4 linked regions of the Tamandua tetradactyla genome follow. The protein of the gene in region 1 interacts with the protein of each later gene in a pairwise test. Links are inferred from orthologs where the notes say so. Each region holds a gene or a part of one and is shown in the gene's direction. Other genes may lie near its edges.

Region 1 (7,550 bases):
TTTACTTTAACATTTGTTCCTCCTGTTATTTACTTTTAATCCATATATTTTTTACCAGTTTGTACATACTGTAGATAAAAGGAGCATCAGAACAAGGTTTTCACAAACATACAGTCACTTTGCAAAAGCTATATCATTATACAATCATCTTAAAGAAACATGGCTACTGGAACACAGCTCTACAGTTTCAGGCACTTCCCTCCGGTCTCCCTATTACACCTTAAACTAAAAAGGGGTTATCTATATAATGCGTAAGAATAGCCTCCAGGATAATCTCTCGACTCTATTTAAAATCTCTCAGCCACTGACACTTTATTTTGTCTCATTTCTCTCTTCCCCCTTTCAGTTGAGAAGTTTTTCTCGATCCCTTGATGCTGAGTCCCAGCTCATTCTAGGATTTTTTGACAGCCCTTTTCAACACACAAAAGTTAGAAAAAGTATAGCCCAAATATCCCTTAAGATTGGGAATAAGATCAAAGAAGAAGATGGAGTTATAACAGAGAAGATAGGATTTAACAATTGAGTAAGATTACCAAATCATTATATTGGTATTTCTTTTAGTGTTCAGTGTCTTGGAGCAGCTAGAAGGAAAAAACCTTAAATTGTGGAACTGTAACCCATACCAAACTTTGAAATCTGTTCTATATCTAATTGTCATGGTGTGCTATTATTCACAATAAAAACATGACCATCACTTACTGGGCATCTGCTAACTAGGTGCAAGGGACCATGCTGGCAACTAATAGAGACTGAGTTTACATAGCATTCTGGTGTCAGCATGGCTAAATGATTATGCCCATTTGTCTACCCAGGCAAGCACTGGCCTGACCGTTGTTTCAAGGATATTTCATGGATGGTTGATAAACTGGAAGACTGGTGTATCAAGTCATCAGTGAGTTGACTGCATTTGTGGCTGATTACATCTGCAATCACCTAAGGTGTGTCTCCCACAAGAAGATAATTCAATCAGCTGAATGCTTTTCAGTAAGAAGAGAGACTTTTTCACGGCTTCTTCAGCCAGCGAGCCTCTCCTGTGGTTTCGTCCAGACCCTTCGTCAGAGCCGCCAGCCTTACAGCCTGCCTTATGGATTTTGGACTCTTCCATTTTCATGGTTGCATGAGAGAGACATCTTTATAAATCTCATATTTACGGATCTCTCCTGTTGGTTCTGTTTCTCTTGAGAACCCTCACTAATACACATGGCTAGTAAATGTAGGATCTGGGATTGAAAGCTAGGCCTGTGTAACTCAAATGCTCCTACTCCTTCTTCTTCAAGTTTGGGATTCTGAATTGCTTGAGAGCTTTCAAAATTAGAAATGTACGCACCAAACAAAAGTGAGGGGTAAGGGGTATGGTATGTATAATCTTTTTTTTTCTGTTATCGTTTTATTTCTTTTTCTGTTGTCTTTTTATTTCTTTTTCTGAATTGATGCAAATGTTCTAAGAAATGATGAATATGCAACTATGTGATGATATTGAGAATTACTGAATATATATGTAGAATGGAATTATATGTTAATGTTTTTGTTTGTTCTTAAATTTTTTAAATAAATAAATTTAAAAAAAAAGAAAAGAAATGTAAGCACCTCTCCTTTTTCTCCCCAGTCAACAGGAAAAACAGTCATTTGGACAGGAGTGCTAGAAACTGGGTGGTTGTTGCCTCCTTATTCTTCATCAGTGTGCTGTGGGGATCAATTCAGTGGAAGGCAAGATGTGGAACTTGAGAAAAGGGATCTTCATTCTTCATATGCTTTAGTTAAGTCACCTGGACGTAAGTCATTACGCTCTAGGCCAGGAAGGACCTCATGTCTTGGCTCTAATACTTCTAAAGCAAATGTTCTTGATGCAAAACAATTTGAAATTGGTATCATGGACACTGTTTATTTCTGAGGCCTTGCAAAAGTTATCTTGGGAAAAAAACAAGTTATCTTGGCGTGCCGTTGGTGATTGGTTGAGAACCAGAATCACCAGTTAATTTAAAATGTATTCATTCATTAAGCATTTCAGTTTTTTAATAGAGGCAGTTACAGCACAATCCTCATGTGCACCAGATATGAACTGCCAAACACCAGCCAAAGGGGAAAAATTGGTATCTTGACTCTCAGGTGACTCCATTTCATCCTTGATTTTCATAAAGATGATTTGAACAGTACAGATAGCAGTGACCAAGAGCAACAACCCTGCCTCACCATGCCAGTTTTTGACTTTGGTAAGTTACTTAACCTTCATTCCTTCTTCCATTCAATCAGCTACTTTTTGAGTACTTATGGTGTTCAAATCCTAGCACATTTTCTAGCTGAGACTTCGGTTAAACTAATTTAAGCCTCAGATTCCTTCAGTGTAAATGGAAAAAACAGTTATGCCTCCTGCAAAGACTTCTTGTGATAATGAAGGAAGATTATGCACACAAAGAGCTTAGCATGGCGCCTGGCATAGAATGTCAGCCTGTCTTTCATTACTCAGTGATTACATATTTACTATGTTCCAGACATAGTGCTTATGCTCTGGGGCTGCAAATCAAAATAACTGACTGCCTTCTTTGGGCCAAAGATGAACTTTCATTATCTTATATCCTCACAACAACTTACAAAGCATGCATTATTTTCATCATTCTATGAATGAAGAAATTGAGTTTAGGGAGGTAAAGCTCAAAATTACACACTGAGTAGTAGCAGAGATCGGATTTGAACCATGATCTACCTGATTACAAAGCTCGTTCTGCCACACAGCCTTACTGCTAGCCAGAATAACATGTACTGTTCATAACTTAGAGAGGGAAAACATGCAGCAAACGACACATCACGGTACAACATATACAAAGCAACATCACTGAACCCTCTGTATACTAAGCCTTATTCTCAATCAAGTCTTATAACAGCTCTATGAGGTAGATGTTAATACTATCCCCTTTATAAGGAACGGAAAACTAAGGAACAGAGAGAGAAGTCCTTGCCTATAGTCCATGCGAATAATTACCACTAAACTCTATTACCACTCTGAAGAGCTAGCAATTTATAAACAGTGGCTCTGGGTGTTCTGAGGAGTGACAATAACGTGCTTGTGAAATCAGAAAAGATTTCATAAATGAGATGTTATGTAAGCTGGAACCTGAAGTAAGAATGTTTGAGGTTGAGGAAGGAAGACAGGGGAAAAGGATGAAGCAGGTAGAGAAAACAGCATGTGCAAAGGCACATTTTCTTTAATGTCTAAACTCGCCTATCTTTTAAGTACAAAGGAGGTCCTTAGAGGATCTGGTACAGAAGACACTTCATTTTGTCTCCTTTCTTTTTATTTCCTCATGTCCTATCCACCCCTATCCTCAGGTTCCCTTTCCTATCTTCCATCTCTCCATTTCCAATACTACAGTCCTAATTTAGAACTATCACCTATCACCTAGACCACTGCAATAGCTTCACCTCCTTTCACTCTCTTTCTCCCTCCAATTCATTAAAAAACAGTTACAGGTTGAGTTTTCTAAAGTACAGCTCTAATCACCTAACTCCTTGGACTCAGAAATCTTTAATTCACCCACTTTCTTCAGAGTGGTCTGAACTACATAGCCAGCCAGCTACCTTTCTTAACAAAGCCTTGGCCTGTCTTTCCAATCTCCTGCCATTTCCTTCCTTTAACATTGCCATGGTCCTCAAACTTTGGTGTGAATCAGAATCACCAGTGGGTTGCTTATTAAAAATATTCATGCCCAGGCCCCGTTAAAATATTTGGTTTAGTAAATTCGAGTTGGTCATTAGGCATTTTTGGTTTTGTTTGCTCGCTTGGGAGAGCTATGAGACATCTGTAGTGTTAACAGGCTCTTTCTGGTGTTCCTACCTCAACAAATTTTAAGAAGCATTGCACCAACTGTATCAACTTTATCTAAAAACTGATAAGCCTCCCGCATTCTTTCTTATCTAATTTGGGAGTCTATTTCTTCACTCAGAAGCTCATTTTCAACCTCAGCCCTACCTTCCATACCTAGATCAAATGCCACTTGTCCTAGGAAGTCCTCCCTCCTCTCCTTCGCCCGTTGATATTCATCTGCACCTTTCTTAAGGTATCAATCTCAACCTTTCGCTTATTTAGGAAGGGCCCACACTCCGGACCATCCAAGGAGTTCCCCAGAGCAGAAAGGGCCATCTTAATCCGTGCCCCCACCCCAATTCCTAGTTCTCAGCGGGATCCTGCTCAAGAGCAATCTATACCGTGGGATGACTGTGCATCAATAGTTCTTCCCGCAAACGCTTGGAACATCCTAATACAACGAACCCGCCTCAGATGCCCTTCCCAAGATACCGGCAAAACCTCTCAGACTAACAGCTCAAGATCGGAGGGACTGGAATTGTTGGGGGAGTTGGTGGGTGGGAAAATTGCTCGGGGCAAAAAAAGCCACCCATCTGGCAGTCAAGACAGATCCCCCGACGCCAGGAAATGACGCAAAAAGCGCCCACTCCACCCCGGGCTTTTGCCTCGGCCTCGGATTAGCTGCTCCTCCCGGCCCCGCTTCAAGGACCTAAGTCACGTGACCCGCTGTTCGCCGCGCGATTGGTTGTCCGATGAGGGCCGCTCTGGATTGTGGGTTCGGGCCGGCTAGTAACGTCCAGCTGAGTGGAAGCGTGGGAGGCGTGCGTCCGCGGGTACGAAATGCTGGTGAGTTCGGCTACTGTTAGCCTCCGGAGGTCCTGGCAGGCCGCCTGAGAGAATCTGGGGCTTAGAAATTGAGATAGCGCGCGGCAGACTCCCGCGTGGGTCTTTGGTTCGAGTCCTGGCTCCAGCCTTATCGCGTTTCCCCTAAAGGATGGCTTCTTAGTCTTTACTTGAAGTTGGCGGGATTTGGACATGATTTATATTATTATTTATTTCTTTGAGGGCGCTGGGCAGAACGCCATAAGCTGGATGCTGGGGAAAGGGCCTGGAGAAGCTTGAAATATGGTCCCTACTAACGTGAAATGTTTGAGGTAACTCGGCCTTATAAATTGTGCTGATGCTTTTATAATCCGTGAGTTTAGGGTTTAGTAGGGAGGATCGCTCAAGGTTTATTGAGTTTTCTCCTATGTGCCAGGCACCGTCCTGGGCACAGTGGTTGTAAGGACCAGTTAAACACGGTCCTGTTTTTTTTAGGGAACTTTGATGGGGCTGGGGGGAAAGGCGGGAAGACACGTGGATAGTTGGTTTATGCTGGGAAAAAAAGTGCTGTGGTAGTCAGAAAAGGGTAACTGAGGGAATTAGGGATTATTTCATAGCAAGGTGATATTTGAATAAATTTTTAAAACTATAATATGTTTCCAGATTAAAATGAGTGGGGAGGGCATTCCAGTTGGGAAGAAAGTGTGCAAAGGCAAAAAACTAGGAAAGTATACCCGATTTGTGTGGTTGGAGCATGTGGTGGATTTGCCCAGAAGCTGAAAGGTAGGGGTATATTTTTAAGGACCTTAATTCCCTGTTAGTATGTCTGGATCTTAAAATACTCTACGAAGTGAAATAGGTATCACGACATAGGTACAGCAAAGTGCTTTCATAATTCAAAGGAAGGACAGATGTTTCCTGCTGGACTGATGGTGAAAGGCTTCATGCATTTTAGAGTTATAAAGGGTGAATTAGTATCCGAGTACAGGAAAGGTTTCTATGGAGGGGAAGGGCTTTCTAGAAGAAGAGAGCAAGTTTGAGGATTTAAGAATAGTCAATGTGGTTTGGTCGGCACATGTTCGAGTTATGGTATTTAGTTAACTATAAATTTGTGTCAATTTTGAAACATCTTGAACACTGGGCAGAGTATTTTGGATTATATATTTCTTGCATCATGGGGAGCCATTAAATGCTACCGAGTAATGACATAATCACACCTAGGTATTTTTTTTAAAACTTTTTATTGAGAAATCTTCACATACGTACAGTCCATCCACAATATACAGTCATTGGCTTATAGTATCATCATGCAGTTGTGTATTCATCACCATGATCATTTTTAGAACATTTACATCACTCCAGAAAAAGAAATAAAAACAAAAAACACAAACATCGCATATCCCTGACCTCTCCCTCTCATTGACCACTAGTATTTCAGTCTACCCAATTTTTTTTGCCCTTTTTCCTCCCTATTTATCCATTTGGTTTTCCTTATTTTTTTTTTTTCACATGTGCAGGCACTGGGAATCAAACCCGGGTCCTCCTGCATGGCAAGCAAGCATTCTTGCCTGCTAAGCCACTGTGGCCCCCCCAGTTTTCCTTATTTTTTTATTTTATTTTTATTTTTTTATCAAATGGCAATTATTTATTTATCAATTCCAACAAGTCCATCCTGAGTTTCTATTATCTATTTTTTTATTAATTAAAAAATTAACTAACACAACATTTAGAAATCATTCCATTCTACATATACAATCAGTAATTCCCAATATCATCACATAGATGCATATTCATCATTTCTTAGTACATTTGCATCGATTTAGAAAAAGAAATAAAAAGACAACAGAAAAAGAAATAAAATGATAATAGAGAGAAAGAAATAAAAATAAATAAACAAACAAACAAAAATCTATACCTCAGATGCAGCTTCATTCAGTGTTTTAACATAATTACATTACAATTAGGTAGTATTGTGCTGTCCATTTCTGGGTTTTTGTATCCAGTCCTGTTGCACAGTCTGTATCCCTTCAGCTCTAATTACCCATTATCTTACCCTATTTCTATCTCCTGATGGTCTGTTACCAATGACATATTCCAAGTTTATTCTCTAATGTCGGTTCACATCAGTGGGACCATACAGTATTTGTCCTTTAGTTTTTGGCTAGACTCACTCAGCATAATGTTCTCTAGGTCCATCCATGTTATTACATGCTTCATAAGTTTATTCTGTCTTAAAGCTGCATAATATTCCATCATATGTATATACCACAGTTTGTTTAGCCACTCGTCTGTTGATGGACATTTTGGCTGTTTCCGTCTCTTTGCAATTGTAAATAATGCTGCTATAAACATTGGTGTGCAAATGTCCGTTTGTGTCTTTGCCCTTAAGTCCTTTGAGTAGATACCTAGCAATGGTATTGCTGGGTCGTATAGCAATTCTATATTCAGTTTTTTGAGGAACCGCCAAACTGCCTTCCACAGTGGTTGCACCATTTGACATTCCCACCAACAGTGGATAAGTGTGCCTCTTTCTCCACATCCTCTCCAGCACTTGTCATTTTCTGTTTTGTTGATAATGGCCATTCTGGGTTTTCCTTATTTTTTAATTCATCTGCCCATATCCTGGATAAAAGGAATATCAGACACAAGGTTTTCACAAACACATGATCACACTGTAAAAGCTATATAGTTATACAGTCTTCAAGAATCGGGGTACTGGTACAGAGTTCAACAGTTTCAGGCACTTCCCTCTAGCCACTCCAATACACCATAAACTAAAAAGGGATATCTATATAATGCATAAGAATAACCTCCATGATAACCTCTCAACGTTATTTGAAATCTCTCAGCCATTGAAACTTTAGTTTCTCTCATTTCTGTCTTCCCCCGTTTGGTCAAGAAGGCTTTCTCATTCCCGTGTTGAGTCCTG
Region 2 (7,823 bases), about 5.3 Mb from region 1:
CAGAAAAAGAAAAAAAAAGGAAAGAAAGAACACAGTATGTTCTGTACTTTAAAAAATTGAGTTACAGTCCTTGATAACCCAATATTTTCTATCATGACTCTACGGACTCTCATTTTCTTCTGACTTCATTTCGTGTAAGCCTCTATGTTTCAAGTTTTAAAGTTTCCCGTTTGTAACTTGGGTTTACTCTAAGTAGGTCAAATGAAGAATAATTTGAGTGCCACTTATTTTTGCAGATAGAAAAATTTGAAAGTTCTGCTTGGACTGGGATTTTCCTTTTATTATGTCTACTACTTACAGTTGGATGTTGTATGCAAGTCTGCTATTTCATTTAGTTTTTTTTAAAGAAACAGAATTTATAAGCCTTCCTTAGTAATGATGAGCATGCTCTCATCTCCACATCTGATCTAGTGGCTCAGTTAGATAGTAACTAAAATATAGAGATTGTAAGAATTGTCTGCATCAGGTTAGCTCTTATTTTCACTATGTGGAAATCTTCATATTTGAATGATCAGTGGAACTAACCTAAAACACTTTTCATGACTCTTGGTGCTATCATGGTAACTGAGAAAAGGAAAAACCAGAGTTTAAATCAATAAATACAGCCTCATATGAATATTACATATTTTTCATCACTGGTGTGTTGTGGAATGAAGTTAATTGTATGGTTATATGCTGTACTACATTAAACTCAGTTATTCAGTATATGAGCAAACAGGAAGAGTAAACAACCAGGTTTTCTGTTTATTTTAGATAAACCACTTTTATCAGTTATGACAGGTTGAAATAAGGTGTTAAAAATAATTTCTAATGTGTTCTAGGATTGGCAGATATTCAGATTGGGCTTCTACATTTTCAGGATGACTATATAAAAACTGTTCACAGTGATGAACCTGAGGCCTTCAAGATTCAGAATTACTTTCACATATACAACTTACTTACAAAAGGCCTTTTCAAAAATTTTTACACTGAGCATTTTAAAAAATGTTGAAGGAGTAAATTAGCTATTCTTGGAACTTTATTATTGTTAGCCAAAAATTTGTCTACCAATCTCAATTCTTAACCATTCTGTTCTGAAGAACTGAGGTTACTAACATAATAAGGCTGAAAATGTGCCTTGCTACTGGCAGAACTATCTTTAAATGGTATGGTAAAATTTCACAATTGCTGAAGGTACATATTTGTGGGTCATGCCTTGCTTTCAACTGGGGACAGTAATAATTCTTGGAGGTGAAAAGAGGCCATTCTACATATTTAGAGAAAGAGAAAAAAACCCGCCAAACTCCGTAACAATCATTCCCACAGCCTCACCCTCAGTTGCCACTATCAGTTGGGTGAAATTGCCTTTTCATTCTATAGATCCTTTCAAGTTTCTTGTAATTTTGTTTTTGGATGTGACTTGGCAACTCACTTATTAGGGCCATAATTCTATGTAGATATCTGTATTGATGTAGATAACTTTCCAAGATGACTTTTTAAGGTAATGTTATGAGCTACTTCAACCCTCTGCTGGGATCTGATTTAACCTATACAAAAATAGAGGAGGGGTCTAAACAATGAGCCTAGATTCCAGGCTAGCTCCCCACAGGGCTATTCTTGACTTTTGACTGGGAACATATCTAATCCCTATACAGAGAAAAGACTCCCTATAGATCCTATTGCTGTCCATGATACATTGTAAAACTTGATGTAAATTAGGTTTAAGTCAAGCCTGAGTAGTGAATGAGGTCAAGAGTATATGCTGAGGTTCTTTTCGTATTAAAATAAAAAGGCCATTACAACTTTTTTCTTGCTTGTAAATGCTTAATTTATTCTTTTTTTGTGGGGTGAGGTGGGGTAGTTTTGCCTTTGTTCAATGACTTGTCCAGGGTTAAAATCTGTGGGTACTGTATGTTGATGATACCTGAGCCGAAGGGATATTCATTTTCTCACTGGCCTTTGATAACATTTATTTTACTTGAAAAGATAGAGACTGCGCTTAATCCTGGTGGGATTCCTATCAGTGGCCCTAGCGGGCTGAGATGTTTAAAGCTGTTGTTTAAATGTCAAAACCACTTATCTTACTTGGATGTTGCTTGCTATAAAGTACATCTCTTTGGTTTCACTAGAATTTGAATTCTCATAAATAGTAGGTTAATTTTAAAATTTGGCTTTAATCTTTAATGTTTGAGAAATGCTTTTGTGACTTTCACAATGCAGCTAGCGCAAGCTGTTTTTAAAATGTCAATGTAAAAGGCACGGGTCTTAGTGCAGAGCTGCTTAAAGATGAATAGCTTCAGAGGACTCCTACAAAACACACACACACACACACACACACACACACACACACACACACACACACACACAAATACAGAGACAGAGAGACAGAGATAGAGAGGCCAACCAATATAGTTTTGCTAATGTAATGGCACTTGCTCACAGCACGTACCTACTATTATGAACATTCTGATAAAAATAACTTCTGATAGAAAGAACTTGACCATCTATTTTATTAACATGGCTACCTCACTAAAACATTTTATGGAACCAGAAGTCTGGGGTGTTAATTCATTCACAGCAATAGTCCTTTAAAAGACCATGTCATGTTGGAAAAAAAAATCAGGGTAGCTGGGTTTGTGTTCATTGATTTGTTAGGTTATCTATTCTCATTTCTAGCTTAATGTAGTGCCTGAAAACAATGCCTTGCAGGGGTGCTAAGGTAATTTATCAGCCTTTCTGGGTTCTAATCCAACGATTCACCTAACTGCTGCCTCCACACCATTAGCAAGATCATACTATCAAATGAAGCATCTCCTATTACTCCCCACCCCCCACCCCCCACTCCAATTAGATCTTTAAAAGGAATAGTTGTTTTTGTTTAATGTTTACCATCTGGACCTTTTTCCTCTTGAAAAACTTTGAATTTATTGTTTTGAAAGATATGAGCTGAAATATTACAAAGTGAGATGTTAGATTACAATTTTATTTTTTTCTTTTAAGTGATTTCTGAAAACAATGCATTCATTAGATTTCTATGTACGATGATAACACAGCAGTCACTTTAACAGAACCTCAGTGTACTTTTTGGTTAGATATTCCATGCCAAATATCTATGATACAATCAATGATTTGGGGATTCTAAATGTACTTAAAATAAAAAATGATAGCCAATATATGATACATAGCTCCGTGTATAACAAAATTATGAGACTGCAAGTATAACTTGATAAAACTGCTGAGTGCAATTTGAGTGCAATAAAACTCCCTTTTAAATTTGGAATTAAAAAATTTTAATTTAAAACTTGTCTATTTCCAAAAATGATTTAAAAGCAGATTAATATTAGACTAGTATTAGGTCCTTTCAAATGTTGCAGAATAGAGCATAATTCAACGATTTAAACAAAACAAAATGAAATTTGCCAAGCATAAATATTGTTACAACATGATGGCAAGGCTTTTCTTTGCAGAACAGTCTCTGCTCACTCACCTGCCAAAGATATTCATCTCATCTGCAGTATGGGAGCTATTTAGTATATTGGGCAAAACGCTAGACGCTACTAAAACGATTAACGAAACGTTTTTCACTCTATATATTGCTTAATATTCAAACCAAAATTTTTTATCCGATAAGGTTTTGTGTTCTTTAACTGAAAATAGTAGTAAAGATAATTGTGTAAATGAGCTTTTCCTCAAGATTTTTTCTGGGAAAACAAAACAAAATACATCTCTTACAAACTTGAAATGCACTGGACGAAATAATTTTACCCTTTACTGTATTGGTGAAATTGCGAAATATCGTTACAATTTATGCTTCAGCAATAAAATAGTGGGAAGGATATTATTAATGGATAACGAACGCCACAGATGCTTTAATGCTTATGAGAAGAAACGATGCTAAGGCTCTGAAGCGCTTAATTCCCAAACACTGCTAACCTACAAGCATTGTTGAGGTGGCCCTACCGAAATACACGGCTTATAGTTAATCCCTTTCTTCCAAGAGTGTACATTAACTACATCGAGGAAGACTCTTCATCCTTAGCCTAATTATCTAAATCCTTAAGTCTAAAAAATTATTTGATATGGCTAAAAAAAAATGCCTTCGCTACAATTTTTTGTCCAGTCCTCCAGGTTATTTATGAAACTCACACTCTTTAACGACAAACTGACTGCCAAACTAGGATATATGTCCGCCAAAACGTCCGCAGAAACGGTAAGAAAAACTATTACAAGGCCAGCTTGAGAAAACTTCTAAATGGCCTTCACTGTCTTTTGAGCCAATTAACACCCAAGGAGAATACTGGTTCCAGTTAGAATGCGCGCGTCAGTTTCTCCAAACCTCAAAGCAGCGTGTGTATAAGGGTAGGGATTTAAAAACCCATTTCATTTTCCCTACCCCCGCTCCCGGGGAAATAAGACACCACCTACTATATGAAACTAGGCGGGGGAGGAGTGCCGCAGCAAGCTGCCAAGAGCGCCCTGCAAGGACGTTTTCCTGAGTCACGGGGAAGGCGGGAGGTTGGGCCCATGTACCCACGTTACGTCCTCTTCCTAATGGACCCAGCTTAAATAGAAGAGTGCCAAACGAAAGGAAGCAGCACCCGTACTTCTTCAAGGTGGACCAACCGCCACCTCGTTCTCCAAAGAGCCGCATTCCCCCAGAACCCACTTTCCGTACTGACCGCTATCTGCAGACCGTTCCCTAACAATATCACGTGCACCCGGAAGTACGTGGGTGGAACCCAAACCGCCCACGGAAGTGACGTCGATCATCCCGAGTCGCATGATGTGGCAAAATGCAAAAAAAGGGGGGGAGGAATTGGAGTGGGCTGGAGAAAGTGATGAGTCTAAAAAAGTAGTCCCCTCGGTTCCTCTATTTATCCTAGTGTCTCGACAGTAAATGAGAAGCGCGGCGCACTGCGCCTGGAATTCCTGCGCCGTGCTGTGCCGTCGCACTCCGTGGAGGGGTACATAAGGAGGAGGGGGTGAGTCGACTGGGAGGAGTTCTGTCGCCAGGATCCCTCCGCAAGGCTCAGCCGTTTCCGGAGTTTGCGCTGCGCTCGGTTCCGCCATTGCGGCTCTCCCGGCCCCTGGAACCTCCGCCCCCGACCCGAGCTCTTTCGTCTGCCAGCCAGTTACCTGTGTCCCGGGAGAGTATCCTCCTGAACCCGGCATTCCCCTCCCCCTTCTCCTCCTCTCCCTAGGAGAGTCCGGGCGGTCGCTGCACTACAGCCCCAGTGACAGGAGGACACCATATCCCCCGACAGCGCCATGGCCCAGATTCTGCCGATTCGTTTTCAGGAGCATCTCCAGGTGCGTCTGGTTCCCGGCTGGTGAGGGCTGCGGAGGGGTTGGTAGAAAGGAAGGAAGAAGCTGTAGAGTGGGCGTAAAAGCAGAAAGAGTTGGGTCGGTGGTGAGGGGTGGGGGTGGGGGGTGGGGGATGTTGGAGCGTGGAGTAAATGGAGGAGGGGACGCTATCTTGGAAAGCTTAAAGGTTTTAAGAAATGATTTGGGGATTGGATGGAAAGGACAAGATTCGGGATGCAAAGGGCGATGAGGCCAGGCCTGGTTCCCAGGGCCTGTCTGTCTTGCTTCCTCAATCGCAAGAACTGCGTGTCCCCACTCCCCTCCCCCCCGCCCTTTATTCAGTTCATTCATTTGGGTAGGTGGGGTGGGGGAATGAGGCAGATTATTCCGCGTTACTCTTTCGGCAATGATTCTCATCACTTCCTGGGACAGTGCAGTGCTGTCACCTTCCATTGCTCATCTCCCTTTCCTCTGTGGTGTCTGCACCTTGGAGTTGTGGGGCGGGTGGTTTAGGGAGGAGCAACCTTTTTTTTTCTTCCTCTCTTTGCGGTTCTTAACAGGGAAGAGGTACCTTCTGGCGGTGGGAGAGACGCGGCTTCCTTGCCTTCCGCGAGGCAGTGGGAACAGAAGGTCACAGAAGGTGTAGAATGTGAAAACGTATTTCTCAGGGCGGTGTCTATCTCAGGGTGCATAGGGTCAAGGTTCCTAGGGGAATTTAGCCTTTTTTCCCCCCTCTTTCTCATTTTCTCTAGGTGAGGTGTGGCACTTAAGCCTCTTTTTGGTTTTAGGAGGTTAGAAGGAGTTATCTGGAGGTTATTTTGAGGTCTGCTGGAGTTTAGCAGATATTGTGGTTTCTCATTAATTCCTCCTCCAGGATTGCATGGAATGGAACAGAGCCCTCGGGGTAGTGCATACCTGCTTCAAGATATCCAGGGTCTGTAACTGACTGCCCTTTGGTAGGTTACAGAATTCTTCTGACTATGCCTTATTCTGAAAGCCACATACTGTTGTCTTATCTGGCATCATGCCCATGGCAGTGGAGGCAGATGATCCTTTAGTGGATTAGATGAAATTCTTTTCAGAGCTTTTGACTTCCTGGTTCACCAATCCTGCTTCTACTTGTGTTCATTTTGGCTGAAATAATTCATTCATACTAACTTGCTGACTTCCCAAATACCCTATTAAAGAAACCAGGTCAGTCTTCTGAAGAAAGACTAGTTTCATAGTGATAGAATACACAGTGGTACAGAATATACACTAATTTTAGTAAACTGTTGGACACTTTTCCATTGGAAGGCAATTTTATTTATTTTCTCTCATTCTTATAGCATACATAAAGAATCCTTGTTAATAAAAGTTTTATTTTTCAGGCTATGAGTAACATAATTTCATATTTCTTTACAGGTGTTCTCATTTACTTGCATCAGCAAACAGTTTTTTTCCATTAAGACTTGAAATGTAATGAACAATAAAATTTTACACATCAAATGAATTAGTGCACTTTCTTCAGTCATCAATAGTTTGCAAATAACTCATCTGAGGTAATAGAATATACATTGGCAATAACATACTATTTTACAAAAGATTACAAAAATATTAAGTGATAGATGGACATGGAGAAGTTACTTTTCATTCTCAATCCAAGTTTAATTACTGTGGTTACCTCTAAAAGTGGGGTGGTAAATAAATGTGGAGGGTTAGAAAAATACTGTTTTGGAGTGTGAGGTGAAAACACAGCTCATCCTTATACTGAAGTACGACTGAAACATGACTTTGCACACAAATGTTTGGTAGACCATATATGAGAAACAAGTACAGTTGCTGTTTATTTTACATGGTAGGGGTACAGCCCACTAGCACATCTTCTTCATTGACTGGTGGTAGTTTGTGTAATAGTTTTTCATTTTTATTAAGGAGAGAATTGTTAAGTGACCTTAGAGATTAGAATCCCAACTGTGCTGCTGTTTGAAGACATTAGATACACTCCTGATTTCTAAGTGGTTCCATGTTTCTGCAGATACTTGAGTGAAGCCATTTTCTACTCAAAGATTTTGAGAATAAAGTAGCTTTGCAAATATACTTCAAATTCAGCTATCCATTTTTTGAGAGATACATAGTGCCTAAGTTTAGTGTGATTGTGGCTCCAGCTGACATTAACTGCAAAGATTCAAATCACTGAAGTTTTCCAGGATAATATATTTCCTGACTTCCCATTTTTATCTCCTCCTTTATTTTAATTAACAATTTTGGTCCTTGACCTCTGAGCGTCTTTCTATTGCTAAGTAGCAAAAAAACTTTCTTAAAGATAAAAACTGGGAACAAGAAATGAGGAACTTGTGTGTAGAGTTTTAGCTTATTAAAGTTTCAAAAGACAAATGAACCTATTTTATAGCCTTTACCTATATTGACCAGGTGAAGAATCTGTAATCAAAGCTTGGACCTACATTGAATGAATGTTTATATTCTAAGTTATACAGGAAGTTTTGTTTTGTTTTTTTAAAAGGATGTTTAGGCTGATAGCAGTGAACAAATGAGTGCCT
Region 3 (7,089 bases), on another chromosome or scaffold:
TCCCCGATGCAAATATTTTTCCACTCACTGATCAAATCACTCTGGGATTCATCGGGGCATCACTCTGGACAAACCAACAAAATCTCATGCCCTACCCAAGATTCCAAGTATTTATGGTGTTCAATCAAGCTATCTACATAAGTTATAATAGGAAATGCACTAGTCAAAATATAAATTTTGTACCAAATATATATTTTTTGCTTTAGTCTCACTTAAATTATATTTTAAAATATTAATTACCATCTATTTTCAACTCCCAGCAGTAATGACATTCCTTTGTTCTTCCTCATGCAGAAATATTGTTAAATTTGTATATTTAGCCACTATCATTATATACTCAAGGCATTCCTAGATTATACCATCTGTCTTTATTGTCTATCTTTCTTTCTGATTTCATTTGTGCCCCCAGCCCTCTTCCCTCTATTATTCTCACATTCAGCTTCATTCAGTGTTCTAACATAATTGTATTACAGTTAGGTAGTACTGTACTATCCATTTCTGAGTTTTTACAATCAGTCATGTTGCACAATCTGTATCCATTCACCTTCAATTACCCAATATCTTACCCTATTTCTATCTTCTGATGGTCTCTGTTACCAACTGAAATTCTCCAAGTTCATTCACTAATGTCAGTCCATATCAGTGAGAACATATAGTATTTGTCCTTTTGTTTCTGGCTAATTTCACTCAGCATAATGTCCTTAAGGTCCATTCATGTTGTTACATACTTCATAACTTTATTCTGTCTTAAAGCTGCATAATATTCATCGTATGTATATACCACAGCTTGTTTAGCCACTTGCCCGTTGATGAACATTTTGGCTGTTTCTGTCTCTTTGCAATTGTAAACAATGCTGCTATAAACATTGGCGTGCAAATGTCCATTTGTGTCCTTGCCCTCATGTCCTCTGAGTAGATACTTAGCAATGGTATTTCTGGGTCATATGGCAATTCCATACTTACCTTCCTGAGGAACCGCCAGACTGCCTTCCACAGCATTTGTACCATTTGACATGCCACCAAAAGTGGATAAGTGTGCCTCTTTCTCCACATCCTCTCCAGCACTTGTCATTTTGTTTTACTGATAATGGCCATTCTGGTAGGTGTGAGATAATATCTCATTATAGCTTTTTTTTTTGTATGGGCAGGCATCGGGAATCAAACCCGGGTCTCCAGCATGGCAGGCGGAAATTCTGCCACTGAGCCACCATGGCCCGCCCATCTCATTGTGATTTTGATTTGCACTTCCCTAATAGCCAGGGAAGTTGAGCATTCATTGATTTGATGTTTGATGAGGTTTTCCACGTCTGTTTGAACATTCTGAATTAATTATTTCAACTCCTGTATCTCATTTGAATTGTTGGTTTGTTCCTTTGACTGGGCCATATCTTTAATTTTCCTTGTGTGATTCGTTATTTTTTTTGCTGGCATCTAGGCATTTAATTACCTTAATTAGTTTATTTTGGAGATTGCTTTCACTTCTTTTACCTAGGATTTTCTTGCTGGATGAATTTGTTGTCTATCTGTTCTTTGACATTCAGTTCAGCTTATTCTGGACCTCTAGCTTAGGTTTTGTTCAACAGAGGAGAATTTTTCAGTTCTTGTTTTCTTGTTTCTTGCCCTGCCTGTATGGTGCCTTCCCCGCCCACCCCACATCTTAGGAGGGTCTACTTAGGTATAATAGACCCAAGCCAGATTTTCCCAGACCAAACTGGCCTCCTATCAGGAGGAAAGAGTCACCTGCTTCGATTTTCCCTGAGGGTGAGACCTAGCAGGTTGAAAGACTTTCCCATGAAGTTTCTGGACTCTGTGTTTTTCCTATGTTGCCCAGTATGTGGTGCTTGTCTGCCTGCAGGTCCCACCAGCATAAGGTGATGTGGTACCTTTAACTTCAGGAGATTCTCCCTGCTGGGGGCATGGCAGAGACAGTGGAGAGGTTGTAGGATGGCTTTAATCACCTCAAATTTCCAACCCCCTGGGGTCTGAATTCTTTCAGGGAGGGAATCCACCTGAGCTAGGCCCCTCCCCTCTCCTAGGGAAGGCACAGGCTCCAGACAAGCTCTAAAACAAGCTTGTTTATGCCTATGCCTGGGGCTGTTGCAGCCTGAGAAGCCCTGCTGCTGTATCCAAAGGCAGTCAAGTCTTTGTAGAACATAGCCCCCAAAAAAGAAAGAGAAAAATCCTTCTCAGAGCAGGATCCCCATTTCTTGGGTTTGCCAATCAAGAGCATAAGTTGGTATGTTGACTGTGTACCTTCAGATTCTATGTGCCCCCTCCTTTCCTTCAGGGCCCAGACCCCTTCAAGTATTATATGCTATCCGATCCAAAAAACCTCTGTTTCTTTTTTCCTTTTTCAGTCACCCCTGCCCCCTCAGAGCCAGGGCAAAAATCAGCAACCTCCATTTTGAGGAGGTTCACCTGAGCTAGGGCCCTATTTTTAGTAGTCAGAATTTGTGAATTAATTCAGCAACTGGAGTTTGGTTGAGCTCAGCCTCTGCTGCAAAGTAACGTTCCTTTTGTTCACCCCTAGGAAGCAGCCTGTTGGGGAGGGGTGCCGACCACTGCAGCTTGGGGGACTCACGGTTCTGGGGGGGCTTGCAACTGGTCCAGCTGGTCCAGACTGGGGTACGCTGTGTGTCTGGTCACTGAAGTGGCCCCAGCAGTTGTTTTGTAGTGTTCCTGGCTACTTACTAGCTGTTCTGGAGGAAGAACTAAACCCCGTACCTTGCTAAGCTGCCATCTTGGCACCTCTATCTTTCTTTCTTGACAGCCCCTTTCAACATGAAAAAGTTAGAATGGCCAAAGCCCAAACACCCTTAAAGATTGGGATAGAAAGATCAAAGGTGATGGTGGAGTTATATAGAGAAGGTAGGGTTTAACAAGTTATATGACTGCTGAATCACTAAGTTGATATTTCTTTTAGTCTTCAGTATCTTAGAGTAGCTATAAGTAAAATCCTAAAATTGTGAAATTGTAATCCATACCAAAGTCTGAAACCTGTTCTACAACTAATTGTACTGTGGTTTGAAATTGTTTCTGTATATATTTTTTTCACAAAAAAGAAAAAAAAAGTTGATTGTGATGATAAAAAAACATTTATTCCTTCTAGCCTCTTATATTCTGTAACAGCTGGAAGGAAAACTCTTAGACGATGGTATAGTAGCCCATGACAAACTCTGGAATCTGTCCTATAACTACTTGCTGAAGAGTGCTTTAAAAACTATTGCCTTTTTCTCTCTTTGGTTTGTATATATGCTATATTGTACAATAAAAAAAAATTAAAAAAAAAAAAACCAAAAACAACTACCTAGGCTAGAATTCACCAACAAGTCGACCTTAGCCAAGCTACTTAGCAACTTTAAACCCCGGTCCTCCCATTTCCTGTGAAATTACGTTAATAACAGAGAAATCACGTTAATAATATGAGGACTAAATACTATTTCAAGTAGAACGCAACGGCACAGATTTAAGTACTTAGATGGTGCAGGTGCCTCACAGAGGGCCACTCTGCCCCTCACTTCAGTGTTCTCTTTACAGCTTAGAGGTTAAGAGCACAGATTCTGGATCCAGCCTGTCCCTCTGTGTCTATTTCTTCCTCCCGAAAATGGGGTAATAATAACCTATCTCACAGGGCAGTTGAGGATTAAATTAAATTAAAGTATGTAAAATGGTTAGAATCTGTGCCTAACGAGTAAACACAACGAAGTGTTTGCTACTATTTCCATTATCTTTAAGTTCTCTCAACATACCATTTCTTTCCTACCTCTGTTTCTTCTAATCATTCTTCTAGACTGGGTTCAAACACCACTTCCTCAGAGGGGGCCTTCCCGACCCCAACCCAGGTCCTCTTAGGACCGCTCTTTGACAGGACATCTTCGACCCCTACCACCAAACACGCGTATTCTAAGAAGCCCGCCGCATATCTCAACGGTAACAACTTCAGCCTGTTGCATGCCTTTTTCAAAAAACGTCTTTAAGACAGGGTCAACAGTGGGTACGCTCCCGCGAGCTTCCCCACGCGTTACCTTTGTCACGTGGACCCGCCGGGTGTGAAGCCACAAAGCCTCTAGCCGAACTAGGGGCGTTTCCTATCGACCCTCCACCCCTGCGCCCTTCGCGCATCCCGCCTCTAAGGCTGGGCCAAAAAGGAGGCGGAACTCTGTGAGTTGTACGGCGGTTTCCCAGCCGGACCGAAAAACCGTGCGCACGGAGGGTCCCGGGAAGAGTGCTTTGGGCTTTGACTCCCGCGACATGGCCTTTAACTTTGGAGCTCCTTCGGGCACTTCGGGCACCTCTGCAGCCCCCGCGGCTCCCGCGGGTGAGTGGTCCCTTCCGACCTTCTCCTGGGGAGGCGAGGAAGCCTTCGGGCCCTCTTGCCCCTCCTCGGGCCTGGGGGATCCTGCGGTCTCCCGCCCGCGAGAAATTTGGGGGCATCCGGAAAAGGGCGGGCGGCAGTGGAGGGGCGGAGGCGGCTCCTGAGGAGGCCGCCGAGGGGCTAGAGGTCCAACCCGCAGCTCGTGCTCCGTGCGTGGGTCTCCCCAGGGCCCTGTCTTTCCAAGGTGCGCTTCCCGCCGCCGCCGGGGAGTCCCGTTCCGTGAGACTCCCCTCTCCCCTTGCTTGAGACCCGCCTTCCCCTCCCTATCCTAGCTTCTGGGACAGGCGGGAAAGCTCTCGTGGCTCCCGCAGCCGAACTGGATGAAGCTAGGTTTGGGTAGCTCCGGACGCTGCCCTGCGGCTCCCTCTGTATCAGTTCGGAACAGGCAGGTGCCTACGCTGCGAGCCCTTTGGTCCTTGGTCCTTCCTACGGGTCTTCACGCTGCTGCTCCTGCTCTTCCCCACTTCCTGTGCTTTCTTAACTCATTTGGAGCAGTCAGGTTTGTTTCTGTTCACTTCTCTGAAACCTGCTGATTCTTCTAATTCTTATCTTTTCCTTTTTTTTTTTCTTCTTTCTCCTTAAAAATTGTTTTCTTTGTTTCTTTGCCTTCACGCCTATCAGGATTTGGTGGGCTTGAGACTGCCAACTCCGCCGCCAGTGGGTTTAATTTTGGGGGTTTCGGACTAACTGCTAATCCTGCAGTGAACTTTAATATTGGGAATTTCGGTGTTTCTACTACCTCGGCGCCTCCATTCAATTTTGGTAACAGTCTGGCAAGTGCAGGTAGATACTGCGGGTCGTATGTGTGACTAGTGTTGGGAGCTGGAGTCCAAGAATGTTTCGTGGTTCCTAGAATTTGGAACAGAACAGAACAGTGACTTGTCTAATAAAGGAAATTGATTTCCTAATGTCTAATTAAAACCATTTGTAAAAAAAAAAAAAGCATTTGTATCAAGTTTTAACTGTCTTGTTGAATCTTCAAAGATTCTGGGAAGTTCCCTTCTTAAATTTGCACTTAATTGAACTGAGTGTATCTTCCAAATGACAAGAATTTGGAATGGGTTATTATTTTGAATGTATCTTCCGAATTATTAGATTTATCTGCCAAAGTGTAAACTCACCGTTTAGGCCCATTTTCCAGAGATTCTTGGACTCCTGCAGTCATTTTTCATTTTTTTTTCGTCTTTCATTTCGACTTCATTTGATTGTCTTTCTGTTTCCCAAGGGAAACAAGTCTTATACGAACAGCAGTGACCTGTCTGGTTTTTTAACCTGTCTAAAAATAATATATTTCTGTAGTCAACTCTACAGATTAGGATACACTTTTGTAAGATATGTAACTGTATAATTCTTTACTGGATTTTGGTGATATAATTAGAATTATTAAATTTATTTTCAGGTAGTATTGAACCATATTAAAAGATAGGATAGACATCTTTGCACTCTAAAAGATCATTGTGAAGATCTTGCTATCTATTAAAAATTTTGCAAAACAAAAACTATAATGGATTGTGTAAATTTAAAGTAGGTCTGTGTACGCAGTTTACATACAGTGACCCTATAGAAAAATCTTGTTCCTTAGCTGCTCGTATATGAATTTTACTGTCCATATTCTCCTACATTATGCCACTTATGCCCATGCCAATTATATGCATTTGGTAAAGGTTCTTCTCTAAAATTTATTGGAAGGTTTGCTACTTTGAGCTTTCACTTGTTACTGCTATCTGAATATCACGCTGATGTTTGAGTTGAAAACAGTTTAAAGGGTGTTTGAAATTGCAAAGATAAAACGAATGATTACTTTTAAGATATATTTGAAGTGATCACATGCCCCTGTCTTTTAGTATGTTTACTTTTCCCTGTTTGCTTAAAATTGGCACTGGGTAAAACAGAAACATTATTTTGAAATTTGTTTCTGAGTAAAGCCACCAGCTCATATTCAACAAATATAAATAAACCTGTTGTTTGCTTGATTTCATTCTTCATTTGGTGTTATGTTTTATATTGTGGCAATGAAACGGTTTTAACTACTTTTATGTATGTTAATTAACCTAACCTTTTGCAAATGGCTGATAGAAATTCTTGTTTACGTTTTTATTTTGTACTCTTGTAGACCAGCTATAACAAATATTCTTGTATTGTGGACAAGATAATATAGTGACTGATATCTTTATTGTGAAGTCAATTTAGAAAATATCTTATCCTACGAACTTGAGGATTAATGTAAAAGATTAAGAACAAGGTTTAATACTTGAGGTGATTTTTATAAAAATGTTTACAGTTTGCAGCCCTGCAGTAGGACCTACAGATAAATAGGATATTTGGTTATCCCTGCATGCCACATACAGTCTACTTTTGAGTAATTTCCTTAATCAGAATTATATGATTTACAATCAAAGGTTGGTTTTTTCTTATATCTTTTATGTTACAGTCTTGATGAATCTCTGTCTTGTGTACTAGAAATATATAAGATGGTTAGACTCTCAGAAAATCTGCTCCATAACTCAGAGTAAGCAGGGTCTCCAAACATTTGTCTTGAAAGTCTTTTTGGTACCACATTGCTAATCAGCTAAAGACTGACAAGAAAGAAAAAAAAAACACGTGAAACTATTGTAGATTAACTAACATTTCATTCATATGTAGCTGTCTGAAATTTTTCTGTCATAGTTGACAGATTGTGTCAGAAGTATATTTAGCTCTTCTCACTTTCTTGG
Region 4 (7,226 bases), on another chromosome or scaffold:
CGGGTATCGATGTGGGGGTTACAGGTAAATTTTCATGAGTCGAAGAAAATTATTCACCTGTAACGAGGACCGGCTGGGACTCGGATACTTCGAGTCGTGTTTTCTAATCTCACACACCTGCCTTGCACGGGGCCTCACAACGACCGCCAGTGGCACTGCCCCGTCTCTGCATGGGTTCTGCCCACAGAGCCTCATGGTGAGGTGAAGCTGTGTCTCCCCACATTCCACCGTGTCTGAACATAAGGACAGCAACTCACCCAGGAGAGCAGGCGAGATGGGTCTTCTGGAAAGCGCAGCTCCTTTCTGAGATGCCGTTTTCTCCCACGCCGGACCTTTGCCAGCTTCTCACGATCCAGCCAGCCACCTTTGGGTCCAAAGGTTCTGGCACGTTCCTGCCGTGCACGCGCCAGTCCTCTTTGGTTGCAGCCCTTCGCCAGGAGGTTTTGTTGCTCCCTGCAGACTTTCACCAGCAATCTCCGCGTGAGACCGAATCCCTGGAGCAGGGGAGTCTGCAAAGGGGTCCCGGGACGCGTGGCTTGCGGCATTCAGATTATTTCTGCTGCAAATCTCCTTAATGTAGACATCAGAGGGCTGTGGGAAGGAAGCCTGGGTTATGTTTCAGCCGTGTGGCTTTTCTTACCAGAGCAAGTGTGTACAAACTCTTTTGTCCACTCGTAAATATGTAGCAACCTGTGCACGGATGGTTGCTTGGAAGGATACATCAGAACTGGAGACCTTAGTCTGGGTAGTAGCTCTGTCAGCTCCTATCTGGTGGGCACTAATGGTTCAGTCGTTTTCCTGCTAAAAACCACCATGGGACATAGTTTATAGAAATGTATAGTTCTGGGGCGCACGGGTGGCTCAGGGGTGGAATGCTCACCTTCCATGCAGGAGACCCAGGTTCGGCTCCCCTACCATGCACCCCCAAAAAAGAAAAAAGTTATATATATACCTATATGAATTAATATGTGCCTATGAAATGTATTTTATATAAATATGACAGTTGATTGCCTATGTCTGTAATTTTGGTGGAATCCAAATAAAAAGCAAATCATGAAGGTGGAGGGAAGAGGAAGGAAATTCAACTTGGACTAGGAAGGGGGTGTGTGTGGCGGGTACAGGTGGGTCTGGGGGTGCGTTGGGGATTGGGTTGGGGGCCGGGGACCTCACGGAAAAGCCCCCAGAGAGTGTCCCTAAAGGCCATGCCCCACACCCCCATCTGGTCCTTGGGAAGCCGTGTGTCCCCGACTGTAGACCCCAGAAGGCTTCCTGGAGGCGGCGGCACCTCTGCTGAGCGGAGGGCACAGGCTCCCTGGAGGTCTGGAGAGAACCTCAGGTCCCGGGGTTGGTCCTGTCCGGAGAAGGTGGTTGGGGGCTGGTGCATGTGGGGCGTCCCCCAGGCTGGCCCTCAAAGAAAGGGAAGTTGGAAAGTAACCAGTGACACCATCTTGGATACTGGATAAAGGGCTCATGGGGGGGGGGCATTATATGACACACTCTCCCTCTTGAATTTTTTATGGTAAAACTGTAAAAAACCAAGAGAAAGCATGACAGACACAACGTATCTTTCTGTTTTTATTAGGAACGACATGCAAAAAACAATAGCGAGGGGACCCTGAGAAGAAATGTGTCCATGTACCTGTGCCCATGTGTCCTGAAGGGGTTTTAATTACTTAGAGCCCAAAAGGGACCTCGAGGTTGGAATCCTGCACCTGGCAGGCTGACCTGACCCCCCACCCTTGAGGTGGAAATCATCCCTTCTGTGTTCTTTCTGCATATTCCAGCTGCATACCAGGGTCATTCTATTTCAGCATGCCAGTGAATGAAAACTGCCCTCTGGGTTTCTCTTTTTGTGGCAAGGGGTGCAGACAAGCCCTAAGATACCACGTGTGCAAGGAGAGCTGCAGCCCTCCCCGGGGCCCTTGGAAGGTCGGTCCCCGTCAGGGGCCTGCACTGGGCATGAGGTGATACACCAAAGACGGGGCTCCCCCACGCTCAGCACATTTGGAGCAATCAGCGAACACCCAAAATGTTTCAGATATTTAAGCATTCCTCATATTAAATGAGTTATTTAATACAACCCAGTAGACAAAGACGGAGGAGTGAGCATTCCTAGGCAGTCAATTCTCCTTGTCCCCACTCTCAGGTCAGGGAGCTTCATTCTTCAAGGTGACCCACCAGCCCACAGGTATTTGTCTCCCCACACCCTTCTTTCCCAAGTTCCGGGTTTCTCGAGTTTTCCCACTGCCCTTCGAGAAGGGCAAATGGGGCCTGTGTACGTCTAACTCCACGGGTTAGCGCTTTCTATGGATAAGCGTGTCCTGAATCCCAGCCAGCCACGAGAGCCGCCACCTTCGATCCCCAGGAGGGGCCGGGTTCGTCTCCTCCGCCCCCACCTGCTTGAGGGGAACTTTCCACTCTCGCTCACTCCAGAGGCCACGGGGCTTGCTCTGGAGGTAATGCCAGAGGCCCCGCTCCTGGGACCCACCGGCTCACCAGGGAATGAGTAATTTCTTGGGCCCTTCCCAGCCCAGACAGGCTGATTTTGTGGAAGAATGGGCTGGAAGCTTCCTTTCGGCAATTCTCCCAGGCCAGACCCTTTGACCCTCCAAACTGTCCGAGCTGGTCTCCTCCAGCCCCAGGGCCTCTGGAACTTGGCCAGCCTCAAGCCCTTTTCCTTATCTGCCTTATAGGGAAGGGTCGAAGCCGGCTGGAATGGACAAGGACATTGCAAGCTGGTGGAATGCATGGGATGGAAGTCCCAGAAAGAGGGTCCCTTCCATGCGTCCATCCACTCAGTGGGTCAACCTGCCGGGCATACTGGCCATAAAAAAAAAAAAAAGATAAAAAAGAAGGGGGAAGGGAACAAAGGAGGGAGGGAAGGAAAGAGAGAGGAAGGATGCAAAGGAGGAGGAAAGAGAAAGAAAGGTGCAGGGAGGCAGGAAGGTGGGGCTTTGCTGCTGGGTGGCTGACGGGGCTGTTTGACCTCGGGGCTGGTCCCACGGAAGGGTTCAGCCTGTGGAAAGTCAGCTCATGGGACACACGTGGGTCTTGGGCAGTTTTCCATAAACCCAACAAAAAGGTCAGAGCATTCCCAGGCATGCCTGGGTGTGCCTGTGCAGGGGCAGGCCGGGTAGCGCCTGGCCTGCTCTTCCCCGAGCCCCCAAATCTCAGCACTGCCTTGCAGGGGACGAGGAAAAAGTGTCCACGCTGGAGGCCCTGGGACCTGCCCGTGAGGACCATGGGGGGGCTCCACAGCCTGCCTTGGGCCTCCAGGTACTTGGTGCAGGAAAACCCAAAGGTGCAGGCTCAGAAGGAGCCCCCACTCTAACGGGGGAACAGGGCAGAGGGTAGCCCACCCTCCCAGGGGTGCAGGCTCAAAGGGAGCCCCCATTCTCCCAGGGTCGCAGAGTCAGAGGGAGCCCCCACCATTCCAAGGTCGCAGAGTCAGAGAGAGCCCCCACCCTCCCAGGGGCGCAGAGACAGGGGGAGCCCCCACCCTCCCAGGGGTGCAGAGTCAGCGGGGGCCCGCACCCTCCCAGGGGCGCAGAGTCAGGGGACCCGCACTCTCTCAGGGTTGCAGAGTCAGGGGACCCCCACCCACCCGGGGGGTGCAGAGTCAGGGGACCCCCACCCTCCCGGGGGCGCAGGCGCAGAGGGAGCCCCACCCTCCCGGGGGCGCAGAGTCGGGTAGCTCCCACCCTCCCGGGGGCGCACAGTCAGGGGAACCCCCACCCTCCCGGGGGCGCAGGCGCAGAGGGAGCCCCACCCTCCAGGGGTTCCGCAGAGAGACAGGGCGGGGCGCGGGAGCGATAGGGAGAGGCCCCGAGCCCCGGCACCCTCCCCTGGGTGTGGGCGGACGGGCCCCGTCGTCGGCGGTCCCGAGGCCCTCAGGGGCCCCTTCTCTGCGTCCCGCGCGGCCTCCCCCGTGACCTTGAGAAGGTCACGGCCTCCCCGCGGCCCCCCGGCTCGCACGGCGCATGGGCAGGCGCGTCTCCCGGCATACCTCGGGGCGGCGCGTCCGGCCGGAAGGGGCGGGACGCGGCGCGCGGCGCAGCCAATGAGCGCGACGGAGCGGGGCGGTGACGCGGCTCCCGGCATCCCGCGGCGCGCGGGCCGGGGCGGGGAGTGGGCGTGGAATGGGCGTGGCACGACGCGGCGCGGCCAATGGGCGCTGGGGGCGGGCCCGCGGGGCGGGGCGAGGGCGCCTTAGCGGCTGCGCGCTGGGCGCCGCGTCCTTTCGGTGCCGGCGGCGCGACCCTCCCGGCTGCCCGCGCTCGCACCCGGCCCCGCAGCCATGACGGAACAGGCCATCTCCTTCGCCAAGGACTTCCTGGCGGGCGGCATCGCCGCCGCCATCTCCAAGACGGCCGTGGCCCCTATCGAGCGGGTCAAGCTGCTGCTGCAGGTGGGGCGGCCCGGGGCCGGGGGCGCCGCGCGCCGGGGAGGGCCGGGCGCAGGCGGGCGCCGGAAGTGGAGGCCGCGGCGCTTTGTCCGCGCGCGGGACACTTCCGTGGGCGGGGCGAGCCCGGGGCACGTGGGGGCCGCCGCCTGCCGGGGCCCGTGGGCCGGCCACGTGGGGGGCGCGCGGCGGGACCGGCCCCGGGCCCCCTGGATGGGGGGGGGATGGGCTTGACCTTGGTTGACCTTGCCATTGCGCGCGTCTCCAAGCCCGCTGGGCTCCCCCCTAAAATGCTGCGTGTCCCAGGCCCTTGGGGTCTTTTCCCTCCTGTTGCTTTAAGGGGTTGCGTGCAGCTGCGCCCCCCGGAATCCTGCCCCAGGGATGGTGCAAGTGTCCAGAAGCAGGCGAAACTGCTTCCAGGAGCCCGTCGTGGCCTCCGGCTCCAACGACGGGCTTCTCGAGATCGCGGCAAGGAGGACCGTTGCAGGACGCTGCCCCCGGGGGGTATGCATGCCCTGTAACGGGGCTCCCAGGACGCGCAGGCGGCGTCTGTGGTCCGGGAACGCCCTCGCGATCCTTGGCCCGCTCCCTTGCAGGTCCAGCACGCCAGCAAGCAGATCGCGGCGGACAAGCAGTACAAGGGCATCGTGGACTGCATCGTCCGCATCCCCAAGGAGCAGGGCATTCTCTCCTTCTGGAGGGGGAACCTGGCCAACGTCATCCGCTACTTCCCCACCCAAGCCCTCAACTTCGCCTTCAAGGATAAGTATAAGCAGGTGTTCCTGGGCGGCGTCGACAAGCACACCCAGTTCTGGAGGTATTTTGCCGGCAACCTGGCCTCCGGCGGGGCCGCCGGAGCCACCTCCCTTTGCTTCGTCTACCCGCTGGATTTCGCGAGAACCCGTTTGGCGGCCGATGTTGGGAAATCGGGGGCAGAAAGAGAATTCAAAGGCCTGGGAGACTGTCTGGTGAAAATCACCAAGTCCGACGGCGTCCGAGGCCTGTACCAGGGTTTCAACGTGTCCGTACAAGGCATCATCATCTACAGGGCCGCCTATTTCGGCGTGTACGATACAGCCAAAGGTAAGCTGCTGAGAAGGTCGGGAGCCTGGACCTTCCACGTGGAAGCGTTTGACATTTCCTCTAAGGAACGGGGTGTGTGGGGTAGCCATTCCCAAGACCACAGTTCCCTGTTCTAGAGAGGCGTCCCTAGGCTCTAAACCTGAGCATCTGGGACGGGAGCTGTTACTGCGACTGCCATGCTGTGATGTGCACTAGGCTGTTTGCTCCCGTCCTGCTTGGGTGACGGACCCTGCAGGAAAGCCGTCCTGAGTCCTCCAAGTTTTGTAAAAATTAGGTGGTTCTGGGAACTGATCCCTCTGGACCCACGGGCTTCAGTTCTTTGCAAAACAGTTTGCAAAGTTTTGGGCTTTGCAAAACTCTAGTGCTGCCTTTCCCAAGCACGTGACTGTGTGTGATGACGCCTCACGTTGGCTGGTCCCTCCGTAGGTATGCTCCCTGACCCCAAGAATACCCACATTGTGGTGAGCTGGATGATTGCCCAGACGGTGACAGCTGTCGCCGGCGTGGTCTCCTACCCCTTCGACACCGTGAGGCGGCGGATGATGATGCAGTCTGGACGCAAAGGAGGTACCTTGTCTTTCAACTCCGCTTCCATGCTGAGCAAACGCACGTTTCTTAAAGCATGTGTGGAAAGTAAAAAGAGGTGCGCTGCTCAATTTGCCTTCTTGCCTCCATCCTGATGAGGCCCAGAATGATCAAAGAACACACTTCCCAAAAAAAGTTTTGGGGAATATTTTATCAAAGTAGCCTAGACCTGAAGTAGGCGTTCTTGTTACGAACAGGCTTCTCTTCTTGGCAGGTGTTCCTTTCTTGAGGTGACGGTCTCTGAACCCCTCTTTCCCCTTCCTTTCACTGACTCCCGCTCCTGTCTGTCATCCCTGGACCTGGGGTTCTGAGTGGGAATGGCGAAAACGGGGCTAAGGCCTCTGCACTGGAACTCTCCAGAAGGACCCTGTTTTCCTCTGTGACCAAAACTTGAGTTTTCAAGTTGTCCAGACATCGCCATGTGGGGTTTTACTGCTTTAAAGTCCCTTTGGTTTGCATGGTGCTTGTTTCCCGAGGAACTTAACAGTTACACCCTAACTCTCCTTGCAGCTGACATCATGTACAGAGGCACTGTCGACTGCTGGAGGAAGATATTCAAGGATGAAGGTGGCAAAGCGTTCTTCAAGGGTGCTTGGTCGAACGTTCTCAGAGGCATGGGTGGAGCCTTCGTGCTGGTTCTGTACGACGAACTGAAAAAGGTCATCTAAGTGTGTCTGTCTTAACTAGAATCGGGAACCAAGAATCATGTAGAATCCTTCCTTAACCATTATGGACCATTGACCTTTGAGAAATTCCTATCGTTTTTACCCAGGCAGATCAACTCTGTAGAGAGCTAGGGAAAGCTCTAGAAAAGGGGATCATTGTGATTACATTGGACCACTGGCTCTGCTGATTCCATCTTTTGATTACTAGGGGGCAGGGAAGGGGAATCCTGACCATCGTGGGTCCCTGGGTGAGGCAGCTCAGCTTACACAGACCTAGAAACCCTCGAGTCCAAACGCTTGTAGGACCTTCCGTGGTGTTTAAGTATTTATTTAAAAAGAAATCATGTCTCCTATTTGTACTTAAGCACTATCTCCTTTTGCACAGCTGGACATTTGCAATTATGTTTTACGTTGGGCATTGTGCTGCAAAATAATAAATGAGCAGGACACTCGTAGAGGTGTGGTGTGGACTCGCTTTCTTTCCAAAACCA

The links.
Region 2: the proteins of AP2B1 (region 1) and CLTC interact in a two-hybrid assay, tested with the Homo sapiens proteins (2 studies listed by BioGRID, with this or other methods). The link is inferred for Tamandua tetradactyla from reciprocal best matches to the Homo sapiens genes AP2B1 and CLTC.
Region 3: the proteins of AP2B1 (region 1) and NUP54 interact in binary tests that used the Homo sapiens proteins (3 or more experiments, as listed by UniProt). The two-hybrid records come from large-scale screens. The link is inferred for Tamandua tetradactyla from reciprocal best matches to the Homo sapiens genes AP2B1 and NUP54.
Region 4: the proteins of AP2B1 (region 1) and SLC25A6 interact in binary tests that used the Homo sapiens proteins (3 or more experiments, as listed by UniProt). The link is inferred for Tamandua tetradactyla from reciprocal best matches to the Homo sapiens genes AP2B1 and SLC25A6.

Annotation. Positions count from the first base shown.
Region 1 is NC_135332.1:46,155,830-46,163,379, reverse strand, and holds the start of AP2B1 (AP-2 complex subunit beta), read left to right. Parts: upstream 1-4,549; 5' UTR 4,550-4,645; intron 4,646-7,550. UniProt on the Homo sapiens protein: Component of the adaptor protein complex 2 (AP-2). Adaptor protein complexes function in protein transport via transport vesicles in different membrane traffic pathways.
Region 2 is NC_135332.1:40,809,609-40,817,431, forward strand, and holds the start of CLTC (clathrin heavy chain 1), read left to right. Parts: upstream 1-4,803; 5' UTR 4,804-4,961; intron 4,962-4,971; exon of another isoform or gene 4,972-5,180; 5' UTR 5,181-5,247; coding exon 5,248-5,289; intron 5,290-7,823. UniProt on the Homo sapiens protein: Clathrin is the major protein of the polyhedral coat of coated pits and vesicles. Two different adapter protein complexes link the clathrin lattice either to the plasma membrane or to the trans-Golgi network.
Region 3 is NC_135350.1:52,982,802-52,989,890, forward strand, and holds the start of NUP54 (nucleoporin p54), read left to right. Parts: upstream 1-4,084; 5' UTR 4,085-4,251; coding exon 4,252-4,318; intron 4,319-7,089. UniProt on the Homo sapiens protein: Component of the nuclear pore complex, a complex required for the trafficking across the nuclear membrane.
Region 4 is NC_135353.1:173,458,196-173,465,421, forward strand, and holds SLC25A6 (ADP/ATP translocase 3), read left to right. Parts: upstream 1-4,213; 5' UTR 4,214-4,297; coding exon 4,298-4,408; intron 4,409-4,998; coding exon 4,999-5,485; intron 5,486-5,911; coding exon 5,912-6,052; intron 6,053-6,580; coding exon 6,581-6,738; 3' UTR 6,739-7,190; downstream 7,191-7,226. UniProt on the Homo sapiens protein: ADP:ATP antiporter that mediates import of ADP into the mitochondrial matrix for ATP synthesis, and export of ATP out to fuel the cell.